Linked DNA regions of Nothobranchius furzeri. The protein of the gene in region 1 purifies or fractionates together with the protein of each later gene. This does not show direct contact. Links are inferred from orthologs where the notes say so. Each region holds a gene or a part of one and is shown in the gene's direction. Other genes may lie near its edges.

Region 1 (3,652 bases):
CTTTTGAGGGATGGCAGGTTGTGTCACTTACGTTTTAGATAAAAAAATAAAAAGCAATTATCTGACATCTTCTATTTATCGATGAAAACAAATCAATATGAAATAATCGTGATGCATCGGGATATCGAATCGAATTGAATCGTTGACCCAATAATCGTAATCGAATCAGGAGACAAGTGAAGATTCACACCTCTACTGAGCACTGCTCGTGCCCTACAGAATGACCTCCAAAGGGCCACTGGTGTGAATGTCTCTACCCAAACAATCAGGAGCAGACTTCATGAAGATGGCCTGAGGGCCCGACGTTCTGTAGTGGGCCCTGTGCTTATTGCCCAGCACCGTAGAGCTCGACTGGCATTTGTTCAAGAACACCAGAATTAGCAAGTCTGCCACTGGCGCCCTGTACTTTTTACAGACGAGAGCAGGTTCACCCTGAGCACCTGTGATAGACGTGGAAGAGTCTGGAGAAGACAAGGAGAACGTTATGCTGCCTGCAACGTCGTTCAACATGACAGGTTTGGTGGTGGATCAGCGATGGTCTGGGGAGGCATATCCATGGAGGGACGCACAGATCTCTATGGTGCTCTGACTGCCATAAGGTATTGAGATGAAATCCTTGAACCTTTTGTCAGACCCTACGTTGATGCAGTAGGTCCTGGCTTTCTCCAAATGCACGACAATACCCGGCCTCATGTGGCAAGAGTATGCAGGCAGTACCTGCAGGATGAAGGAATTGAAACAACTGAGTGGCCGTCACGATCCCCTGACTTAAACCCAATCGAACATCTGTGGGACATTATGTTTCGGTCCATTAGGCACTGCCAGGTTGCTCCTCAGACTGTACAAGAGCTCAGGGACGCCCTCACACAGATCTGGGAGGAAATGCCACAAGACTCCATCCGTTGTCTCATTAGGAGCATGCCCCGACGTCGTCAAGCATGCACACAAGCTCGTGGGGGCCACACAAGATACTGAAAAGCATTTTGAGTTGCAGAAATGAAGTTTTTGAAATAATGGACCAGCCTGCCACATCTTCATTTCACTCCGATTTTAGGGTGTCTACACAGTTGAGCCCTCTGTAGGCTAACTTTTATTTCCATTAAAAGACTTGGCATCCTTTTGTTCCTAAGACATTGCCCTGTCGTTATTTGTATAGATATCCAACTTCATATTGAGATCTGATGTTTCTAATGTGTTTCTTTAAAGTGTTTCTTTAATTTTTGTGAGCAGTGTATATGAAAGTGTAATGTTTATCGGTACTTTACAGACAATGAACTTTATTACAATATGCAAATTTTTTTGAGAAGGACCTGTATACAATAGTAAATACACTACCGTGGACTAGATATATGACTAATGGTGGCACGATACCCCAGAAAAGCTCTACGCTCTCTGTTGTCCTGGTGGGGAATTGCTTTACAACACACCTCACTGGATATTTTCTCTCATGTCGAACATTTTCTGTAAACCAGTAGATTGTGGGTAGATAAGCCTGTCTGGTACCAACATCATGCCACGTTTAACGTCACTTCTGTCTCTTTTCCTCATTCGAGGTTTCCCTTTGAACTTCAGCAAGTCATCGTCAACAAACGTGTAAAACCACTGAGTTGCAGCCGTGTGGTTGGCTGATATTCGTGTTAACAACCACTTGAACAGGTTACACTTCATTAAAGTTAAAGTTCCATTTATTCATCACACACTGGTGAAATTCATCTCCGCATTTGACCCATCCTCGTGGGGAGCGGTGAGCTGCAGCTGTGGCTGCGCTCGGGAACTATTTGGTGGTTTAACCCCCCAATCCAACCCCGTAAAGTGGAGTGTCAAGTAGGGAGGCATTGGGTCCTATTTTTAAATCCCGACCGGGATTTAAACCCCGATCTCCCAGTCCCAGTGCGGACACTCTGCCACTAGGCCACTGAGAAGATTGAGTAACCAGAGATTGTAAATAGATTTTTTTTAAAATACTCCAATGTGGGAGTCAGAGATGACATCGACCACGTGAATCAGCTGATTATCCTGAAGTTTAAACATCTGCAGTCATGCCTGCTTGTGTTTTTAGGTGTGTTATGCACGAGTGCTAGATTTCAGGAGGAAGTTCATTGAAGCTGCTCAGCGATACAACGAATTGTCCTACAAGTCTATTGTTCATGAAAGTGAACGTCTGGAGGCACTGAAACATGCCCTGAACTGCACCATACTAGCCTCTGCAGGTACGAGCTGTCTGCAGGTTTTATTCGTGTTCAGAAATACTCCTGATGAGTGGAGGAGAAACTTAATCAGCCGCTCTTCGCTTCTCCTTCCTCACAATGTCGTGTGCTTTAGGACAACAGAGGTCTCGTATGCTGGCTACTCTCTTCAAGGATGAGCGCTGTCAGCAGCTGGCTGCTTATGGTATTCTGGAGAAGATGTACCTGGACCGCATCATCAGAGGAAATCAGCTCCAGGAGTTTGCTGCCATGCTGATGCCTCACCAGAAAGCAACCACAGCAGACGGTAGGAAGAGATGGCGCCGTAACAATCTCTGGATCTTTGTTTTCGAGCTGGAGCGGTGATTTGTTGCTCTCTGATTGTAATTGCTGTCTGTAGTCTGGTGTTTTAAAAAAGACATTTAATTCTTTTGACCCATGCTGATTACCCCAACTCTGATTGGACGGCATCTCTGTTTGAAAAAATACTGTTTGTCTGAGTAACGTAAGGAGGCTTCACTTGGTTGTACTTGTACCATCACAGAGGTCACAAAGTGCTTAGAAAATCTAGAAAACTGTCAGAACATCAGCAGGAAGCAAAATATTGCATAGATGGTTGTTCAGAGTTAAAACAGCCAGTCATTCATAAGGGAAAGTCCAAAAATTCCTCAAAGCATTTGTAAATGTTCTCCATTTCCTCATGTGAGTAGCAAGGCATCACTCTAAGGTCGCTGGCATTTTGAACATCTCGGAAAACTTTACGCTAGTCTGAAAGTGTGACAAATAGGAGATAGAGCGATTCCAAATAAAATTAGATTGAATTGTGAACAAATAGGGACATAATTAATATGCTCTGCGATAAGTTGTGACTAGAAAATGTGAACAATGGCTGCATGACTGACTTGAGTTCTGGAGGGGATCCCAACTTTGTGATCTCCCCAGATTTTGTCCCAGACATCTTATTTGTGATTCCAGTAGAAAAAATGTCTTAATATTTTTACTTCCCAACAAATCAGAGTCGGACTTGATCAACAAGTTCAGTGGAAACTAGGGGTTGTATGAACTAGTCGTCTAGTCGACTTCACTGCTCTGTAGGGACTTTTTATGCCTGTCATCGACTAGTCGCTGTCACGTGATAATAAGATGCAGTCCTGGGAAAAGACAGCAGGTGACAAGCTCCTGCGCGTCGGGAGGCGGGGGGGACGCGCTGTGCCAGAGCGTCGGCACTGACACCCTCCGTAAAACGGACATTTAACCAAATTGTGACGTTTACCCTCTTGCAATTTAACCTTCCCCTCACCCCCATCCTAATCTTAACCAGCTTGCGCATGCAAAGCTCTGATTGTTGACACGCTCCAGACATCTGCGTCCTGAGCACCGCCACAGTAACATTATCAAATTAGGTGTCACCACCACCTCACAAACAAATTTAACACACGATCGTCCATGTCGGCTCATTTCCTTTT
Region 2 (4,143 bases), on another chromosome or scaffold:
TTGAGAAATCATATTAGAACAAGGCGAGTTTCATAAAAGATAATTAGAACGGAAAAAGTAACACAAACGACAGTCTATGAAAAAAATAAAAACAGCCAGCATAAACAGGAAGTAATGCCATTTTAAATATTACTTTTAATTCTTAAATACAATTATTGACTTATTAGTAATTAGTTTTTTTTATTGTTTCAATGAAATAACGCTTTCTGGAATCAATTATTTCACTTAAAATGTGGAAAATGGAAATGATTTAAGAAAACAGCACTTACTAATTAAAAATTGAGTCAAAAGGATTACATTGTTACCACGGTTTGATTCTTCATGTCCTGTCAGACAACAATCCTTTATCAGATCAAAAGTTGAAAGCTGAATAGATTCTCACACAACAAGAACTTTTGAAAATCTTTCCAAGAAACATTTTTGACATTGCAAAGAAAAAAGGTGTTCTACTATTTTGATATCTGGGTGAACTGATATTTATGTTGACTTGCTTTTGCAGAAAGTCGTTACAAGGGATAACTGCATACATATTTTTAAACTGAATTATTTTATTTCCTGTGAGAAAAAGAGAAAGATATCTGGATCAGATTTTCTCAAAGGAAATGTCATCATAATTTTAGAATGTTTTCTCCTCAGGGTTAATGGACATTGAAGCCAGAGTGGCCTAATTCTTATGAATTTATTGTAACATTTTTTGTATACAAAGTCATTTTGTTTATAAATATAAACATTGGTTTATATTTATATTTGTTATAAATATAAATGAGTTGGTTATTTTGGAGTAACTGCATGTATTTTCACATATTTAATTATTACAATTACAGCTAGATGAATTGCCACACTAGGTTTAGAACATTTTAATGTATATTTTCAATCAATGCTTCTGAATATTTTAATAACAAATAAATAAATGTGGCCTGAAACATGCACAACCTATTTTATCTGTGCTTATGTTTGTCAAATTGGCATAAAATAATTTTATTACAAGCCTTAAAACCTGTGATAGTGTCATTAAAATAAATCTACGATACACAAATGAATCATTAGTACAGCTAGAGCAGAAACTATATTTAAGAATGTAACATTAAATAAACACAATACAAAAGAACATTTTCGATAACTTAAGGTGACGTCACTTTGTAGTCCAACGACGACGACTCTAAACATGGCTAACGATCGTGATGTGTTTTATCCACAGTGCCACCTGCAGCCATCCAGTGGTAACGCACCCATCTTACAAAACATTTGCAGCCATTATAGTCACGTTTACAGCTGCTTATGCAAACGCCGAAGTTCCTGGTGCTGGCCTCTCTTGTAGCGTTCACCAGCGACCAGGTAAGCGGCAGCAATGAAAACTGTTTAGGCAAATCGAGGATTCGTTGTCGAGGCGATTCGTGTCTTTCATACTGTGTTGTACGCTCGATTCAACGAGGAAGACATGAAAAACAAGCCCGCCAACAAGTCGGACGCATGCGAATCAAAAAGTAAGAAGAAACGAGCTGCAAAAGACTCTGATCCAGCTGTTTGTAAAACACCACGAGACAGAAAGGATGGAGAAACATCTGATCCAGGTGTGCAGCTCTGATGATGGGACAGCTTCATTTCATTCACGCTGTCTGTACCTGAAATGTTCTGGCTTTGACAGACGAATGTGATTATATCTCACAGGGCCTCCTTGTAAGTTTTCAAGAGTCCACAGGAGGAACGGGCACCATGCGAGCATCCTGCATTATATTTACAAAAGCACCCTGGGCCAAAGCCTACACTCTCAGATGAGACAAGTAAGACATGAAGCTCAGCTTGCATCAACTCAGTTCAGGTTGTGTTCATTATGCGTGGTAAACCTCCATTTTATATAGTTTTTATGTTATTTTAGAGTGTTAAATCAGTAATTTTGTCCAATAAAACAAATATCTTCATTGAGCAATCATGGAATTTTATTCTCAGAGAGTCGAGCATGAATTGATGTACATGCCCCAAAACCAGGGCACCACCAGGTTTCTCTTTGTTCCTGGGAAGTAAAAAAGTGTATTAAAGCAATAAGAACTATAAGATAATACAATCCAGAGTAAAAATGCTGAGTGCTTCCGGTTCTTCACGCACTCTAAGGTGCATGTGTGACACATCCCCATCCCCGGTGAGGGTCTTGGTTCTTTATCTGCAGAACAGGTTCCTATATTCTGACTGATAATTAATCCAGAAGTGAATCAGAGGAGCACCAGACGTGTTTGAGCATGTATCGGTTTGTCTTGATGGAGAGAGTATGTGGTGAAAAGGTGCTCCTCGTCTCTTGCAGTGTCTCCAGGAGCCCTTCCTTCGCTCCCTGTCCTCCTACCACTTCCACGGCGCCAGCAGTCCGTTCGATCGCAGAATCACCTGTCTGGAGTGGCACCCCACCCATCCCACCACGCTGGCTGCAGCCTCTAAAGGTGGAGACATTTTCTTGTGGGACTTCAACAACCCCACGAGAAAAAGCTTTATTCAAGGGGTGAGTGTGTGCGTCGGATTGGTTTTCACCCCCATTCAGCACTGCAGCAGCTTTGGGGCTTATTAGATTGTTACGGGTGATTTCCAGGTTGTGTATGTCAGACGAGCACGAAGACACTGTTGTTGGTTTTCTGCTCAGATGGGGCCTGGAGACTCAGTTACAGACATGAAGTTTAACCAGTTAAACCCCTCTCAGCTGTTCACCTCATCCATGGGGGGTACGACAGCCCTGCGAGAGTTCAGTGGGACGACACTTACAGTTTTTGCCAGAACAGATGCACTGAAGTAAGACTTTAGAGCTCCTTATGTCTGTAAAGGTCAGAGGTCAGGCCTGTTCAGTCTAGCATCAGTCTTCTCGTCCGGTTGCCTCAGACTGAAGTGGTGGCTTCCACTTTACTGGCTTGGATCTGTGTGTGTGTGGACAGAATGGAGCGGGAGACTCTCTGGGAGGGATGAAGTTCTGTCCCATGGACTCGTCCAAGGTCTACGTGGCTTCTGGAGAGGGAACGCTGACCCTAAAGAGCTTTGAGGGGCACAAACCCACTTTGCTGTCCAGAACTCAGGACTGTGCTCACGAGCACCACAATGTCTGGTGAGAAAACCGCATAGAAGACTGATGCTAGGCAGACTCGTTTCGTCGCTTTTCTTCAAATTGGTAAAGAAGAAAATCGTTCAAAGCTAATCTGATTTAAACATCTTATTATAAAAGACATTTAGTTCACATTTGTTGTTGTAGATGTTTACAGATGTGATTGAGTGATGTTCAGGACTTAATGTCTTTAGCGTCATAGTTGAATATCTAAACGTTTCTTTATTAAAAGGTTATTTTAGAGCTTTTTGAACACATAATGAATGAAGAAAACTTGACTTGTTCATTGTGTTTCACAGCTTTTGGTACTGCTGTGTTGACGTGTCTGTGAGTCGGCAGATGCTCGTTACCGGTGATAACACAGGGCAGCTCTTACTTGTCGGACTGGATGGTCAAAAGGTAATTTATTTATTTAAATGCAATCTCTACCAATTCTTTATAGATTAGAGGTTTAAGATTTTAAATGTCTGGATTTTATTTATTTTGTCATAACTGCCCCGAAAATGTAAGCGTGGTCTTTAATAATTTTGCTTTAAAAATGAAACGGATCTGCTTGAAAGCAGCAGATAGAGAATCAGCAGATTTGCTAAGGCAGAGGTCATGAACAGTCTTGTTTTAGAGAAGGAAAAAATGCTGGAGCACCATTTCCAGGAACTAGAAGTGAGCCACATCACAGCTGAGTTTCAGACGGCAGGTTTTGAAGTCTTATTTCCTAATATTTGGACATCTCAGCTCTGACTGGCTAACAGTAACATGACAATTGACCCTTTGCACCGATGTCACCTAATCACGTGGGTCCACCATGCTGGACGGCAAAAGCATTTAAACAGTGAGCGACACGATTAGTAAACAAAGGGAAAAGTAGAGCCTGAAATTGTTTTTGCGATCAAAACAAAAACAAAACTCCTCCAGCATTCCTTCAACTAGTTCATGCCCAGTTCAGTTATCAGAAGAAGTAACTCATCTAGCCGGGGCTCACAGAGAGCGGTATGTTAGCTAGCTTACCAGCGTTAGCTTATGTTCTCTCTGTTCACCGATGTAAACATGTTGTTGACTTTGCCTAAATT
Region 3 (3,652 bases), on another chromosome or scaffold:
AGTTGTTGCTACGTTACAGACATAACCCCCAAAAGCATCTGTGGTATTATCTGGATATTTTCACCATGCTTCTCTCTGCTGCACTGCCAAGATTTCAGCAGCATGTCCGCTTCTCCACCAGAGGAAAAAAACCCGCTGGATTTGCTATTTGCCAACGTCGAGGATGCATCCAGCTCCTGGCATCGTGGATCCTTATCTTGTCTTTCTCTGCCCTTTGTGCAACACCCCTTGTCTAGAGTCAACCTGTGACCAGAGGAACTGTGAGGAGATGATCACAGGGAGATTTTGAGGATTATATGGCACTTCTCAAGAAAAAAAATCACAAGATTAAAAAAATCATAAAATTAGGAGAAGTACAAAGTTTGTGATGAAAAAATGTGAGGAAAAGGAAAACGAATAAGTAAGTGATCAGTGGATCCCGGGAAAGGCAGAATTGATGGAGCTGAATGAGGAGAAGGTAGTGATGAAGAATCAACCAAAGGTCAAGAACAGTGAGGTGCCACCCCAACAACAAACCCTGGGTCAAATGTGAACTGAAAGAACTCTAAAAGAAGAACCTTAAGGGAGGGAGACATGGAATCATTGTGGAGTAAAGAGTAAATCAAAGTGTAGATATGAATTGATGAGGAGTTCCCAAGCTGAAGCTTGAATGAACTTGGCTCGTTCTTTAAAAGCTTCAGTTCAGCGCTCTCCTCTCTGGTCCCCAGCCAAACGCATCTACTGTCCCTTCGTCCAGATTCCCAACACACCTCAACCGTTTTATCTTCCAGCTGCTGCGGTTTCCTCATCATTGTCAACCACATCAGGAAAGGCTCCGTTTGCCTCCTTCCTGGCACCTGTCTGTCTTCTGCAGTTCGATGAAGAGGCAAATGGAGACACTAAACTTGATTAAAGCTGCATAACCAGATGGTTTCAAATCCAAAGTCCTCAAGGAACGGCCGAAGCACCTATGTGGGATTGGTCAACCTTAGCCTGACCCAGGTGAAGGTTCCATTGCTCTGGAAGAAGCCCTGCCTAAGAAATCTCCATCTGTTGCAGTAACATCATACATCATTATCATCATGCAGCTGTAGTTGAAGACATCATCACACACTTCCAACGATCAAAGCGAGTGGCACTGTGGGTTATGTTCTTTGACTTTTCCAGAACACAATCCAGGCTGATTTTAATATGAAAGAAACTTGAGAAGACACAGTTGGACACCTCCACAACCCCTGGATCAGTGACTACAGACCTTGGTGTGAGACCGAAATGTTGTCTGAACGAGTTGTCGGGAGCACCCAGGGGGACTCTGCTCCTCATTTGTTGAAGTTGTTTTGAAGAACTGGGAATATGTCAATAATCCCAGCTGTACTGGGCATTGCACTGGTCTGTCGTGGTAAAGAGAGAGCTGAGCCGCAAAGCAAAGCTCCCGGTTTACCGCTCAGTCTTGTTTATGTTTACGTATTTAGCAGACACCTTTTGTCCAAAGTGACTTACAAGCGATAATGAAGCCAGCAGGTTGCCCTTGAGGCTAACAATAAATACTAATCAATCAATCCTAGGTGGCAGTGAGACAGCATAATGAATCACAAAGGGAAGTGAATAAGGATGGACAGTAGAGTGGAGGACGGGTGTTGGGAGGGTGCTAGTTTGGAAGATGTTCTCAGAAAATCTGGATCTTCAGGAATTTCTTTAAAACCAAAAGGATTGTTCTGGTAGTGCTTGGCAGGGCATTCCACATCTGTGGAACGACACATGAAGAGTCTGGATTGTCCTGAGCGTGACGACCATTCGATGACCAGAGCAGCCGGGCCACGACGTACACCTTTATAAGAGGATTCTAGTAGATGGGAGCCGTACCATCCAGGACTTCGTATGCTACCGTTAGCAATTTGAATCTGATGTGTGCAGCTAACGGTAGCCAATGGAGGGGTGACGTGCTCTTCAAGCTTTGGGTAGTGACCAAAAGAACGAGATTGTGGATACAAGTGGCCAAACTGAGTTTTCTCTGCACGGTGTCTGGGCTCTCTTAGAGATGGGGCGAGAAGCTTGGTTTACCGGGAGGGGCTCGGAGTAGAGCCACTGCTCCTCCACATCAAGAGAAGCCAGTTGAGATACATTTTAGCTCATCACCACCAGTGTGTGAATTGATGAATGTTACACTGTAATGTAAAGCACTTTTAATTCCTCTGACTCTGAAAGGCGCTCTACAAGTGCGGGTCATTTATCGTGTCTCTCGGCTGGCCAGGGAATGTCGTGGGATTCCTCGGAGGAGCTGGCCCAAGTGGCTGGGGAGAGGGAAGTCTGGACGTCTCTGCTCAGGCTGCTGCCCCCATGACCCGACCACGGATAAGCAAAAGATGATGGATGTATTATGTCAAACCCTGGTTCCATTGTGGAAGAAGATATGGAGGGATATTGGTGTTCTACTGAACAGCAATTTCTATTGGAGACTCAACAGCAAAGCTGTAAGAAAGGGCAGAGCAGGCGCGACATCTTTAGTATTTGCAGAAAGATATGTTCTCAGTGGTCTAGTGGAAGAGTGTCCTCCCTGGAACTGGGAGATTGCGGTTCAAATCCCGGTCTGGTCATACAAACGCCTCCCTGCTAAGGGGTTGGATTGGGGGTTAAACCACCAAATAGTTCCTGAGCGCAGCCACCGCTGCAGCTCACCACATCCCATGGGATGGGTCAAATGCGGAGATGAATTTCACCAGTGTGTGAGGACCAATGAGGCTTTAACTTTGAAGGTCTGTCGTGTAGCGCGTAATCTCCTCTATTATCCATTCATGTAGCTTCTTGGTGACCGATAACATCCATGCCTTTTCGTCACTTATTTCAAATACAAAGATAACGTCTACAGATGGAAATGCGGAGGTGTCCTGGTTCTTTTCTTTGTGGCTATTGTCTACGTGTAGGAAGTGGAGAGTAGCATGAATGTTCTACACCGGCGAAACCGCAGCTACACAAAAGGATGGCCTATTGCAGAAGAGCCAACTCATCAGGTCAAGACTCAGCAGTTTACCTACATCAAGGACAGACATTAGTGTAGAGTGTCTAGAGCTGATTGGACAAAAGAAGACAGATCACAAAGTGAAGGACATGAAGGATCCTCTTCGCAAGTCTTTCAGTAAAATTGTGTCTTCAGTTGGTGATTCCCTCAGATTCGTTACAGAAGATCTTGTGAAGAAACGTCGATAGTTCCTACAACATCCAATAATTGTTGCATTTTCTTCTGACAAACAGCTGTTTTCTGCACTGGAGGAAGAGATGGAAATATTATGGTCTGGGACATAAGGTGCAGCCAAAAAGGTTAGGAACTTCTGCTGCAAATGCTTCAGTTGTTGGCAAGTAAATGCATTTGGGTGATTAATGTTCTTGGTGTGTTTCTCGTGATTTGTGTCTCGTTCTCAGATGGCTTTTACAAGCAGGTCAAACAGATCAGCGGCGCTCACAACAAAGCAGAGTTGCATCCTCCTCCTAAGTGGAAGAAGAGACGGAGCAGCATACGTGGGATGGCTCCGAGTGTGGTGAGTTTCTGAATTATCTTTTTTTTCCCTGGTACGACAAAAATCTCTTATCTTTGTTTTCCCAGGATACTCAGCAGAGTGTGACTGTGGTTTTGTTTCGGGATCAACACACACTCATCTCTTCAGGAGCTGTTGATGGG

What was found.
Region 2: the proteins of cops4 (region 1) and ddb2 purify together in Homo sapiens (affinity purification with mass spectrometry; 7 studies listed by BioGRID and IntAct, counting the BioPlex papers as one, with this or other methods). This does not show direct contact. The link is inferred for Nothobranchius furzeri from reciprocal best matches to the Homo sapiens genes COPS4 and DDB2.
Region 3: the proteins of cops4 (region 1) and dtl purify together in Homo sapiens (affinity purification with mass spectrometry; 3 studies listed by BioGRID). This does not show direct contact. The link is inferred for Nothobranchius furzeri from reciprocal best matches to the Homo sapiens genes COPS4 and DTL.

The regions. Positions count from the first base shown.
Region 1 is NC_091746.1:62,999,793-63,003,444, forward strand, and holds part of cops4 (COP9 signalosome complex subunit 4), read left to right. Parts: intron 1-2,059; coding exon 2,060-2,210; intron 2,211-2,322; coding exon 2,323-2,493; intron 2,494-3,652. UniProt on the Homo sapiens protein: Component of the COP9 signalosome complex (CSN), a complex involved in various cellular and developmental processes.
Region 2 is NC_091744.1:65,534,018-65,538,160, reverse strand, and holds the start of ddb2 (DNA damage-binding protein 2), read left to right. Parts: upstream 1-1,202; 5' UTR 1,203-1,335; exon of another isoform or gene 1,336-1,436; 5' UTR 1,437-1,438; coding exon 1,439-1,571; intron 1,572-1,668; coding exon 1,669-1,781; intron 1,782-2,296; coding exon 2,297-2,488; intron 2,489-2,575; coding exon 2,576-2,772; intron 2,773-2,912; coding exon of another isoform or gene 2,913-3,079; intron 3,080-3,375; coding exon 3,376-3,475; intron 3,476-4,143.
Region 3 is NC_091742.1:7,894,539-7,898,190, forward strand, and holds part of dtl (denticleless protein homolog), read left to right. Parts: intron 1-3,228; coding exon 3,229-3,294; intron 3,295-3,396; coding exon 3,397-3,512; intron 3,513-3,577; coding exon 3,578-3,651; intron 3,652-3,652. UniProt on the Homo sapiens protein: Substrate-specific adapter of a DCX (DDB1-CUL4-X-box) E3 ubiquitin-protein ligase complex required for cell cycle control, DNA damage response and translesion DNA synthesis.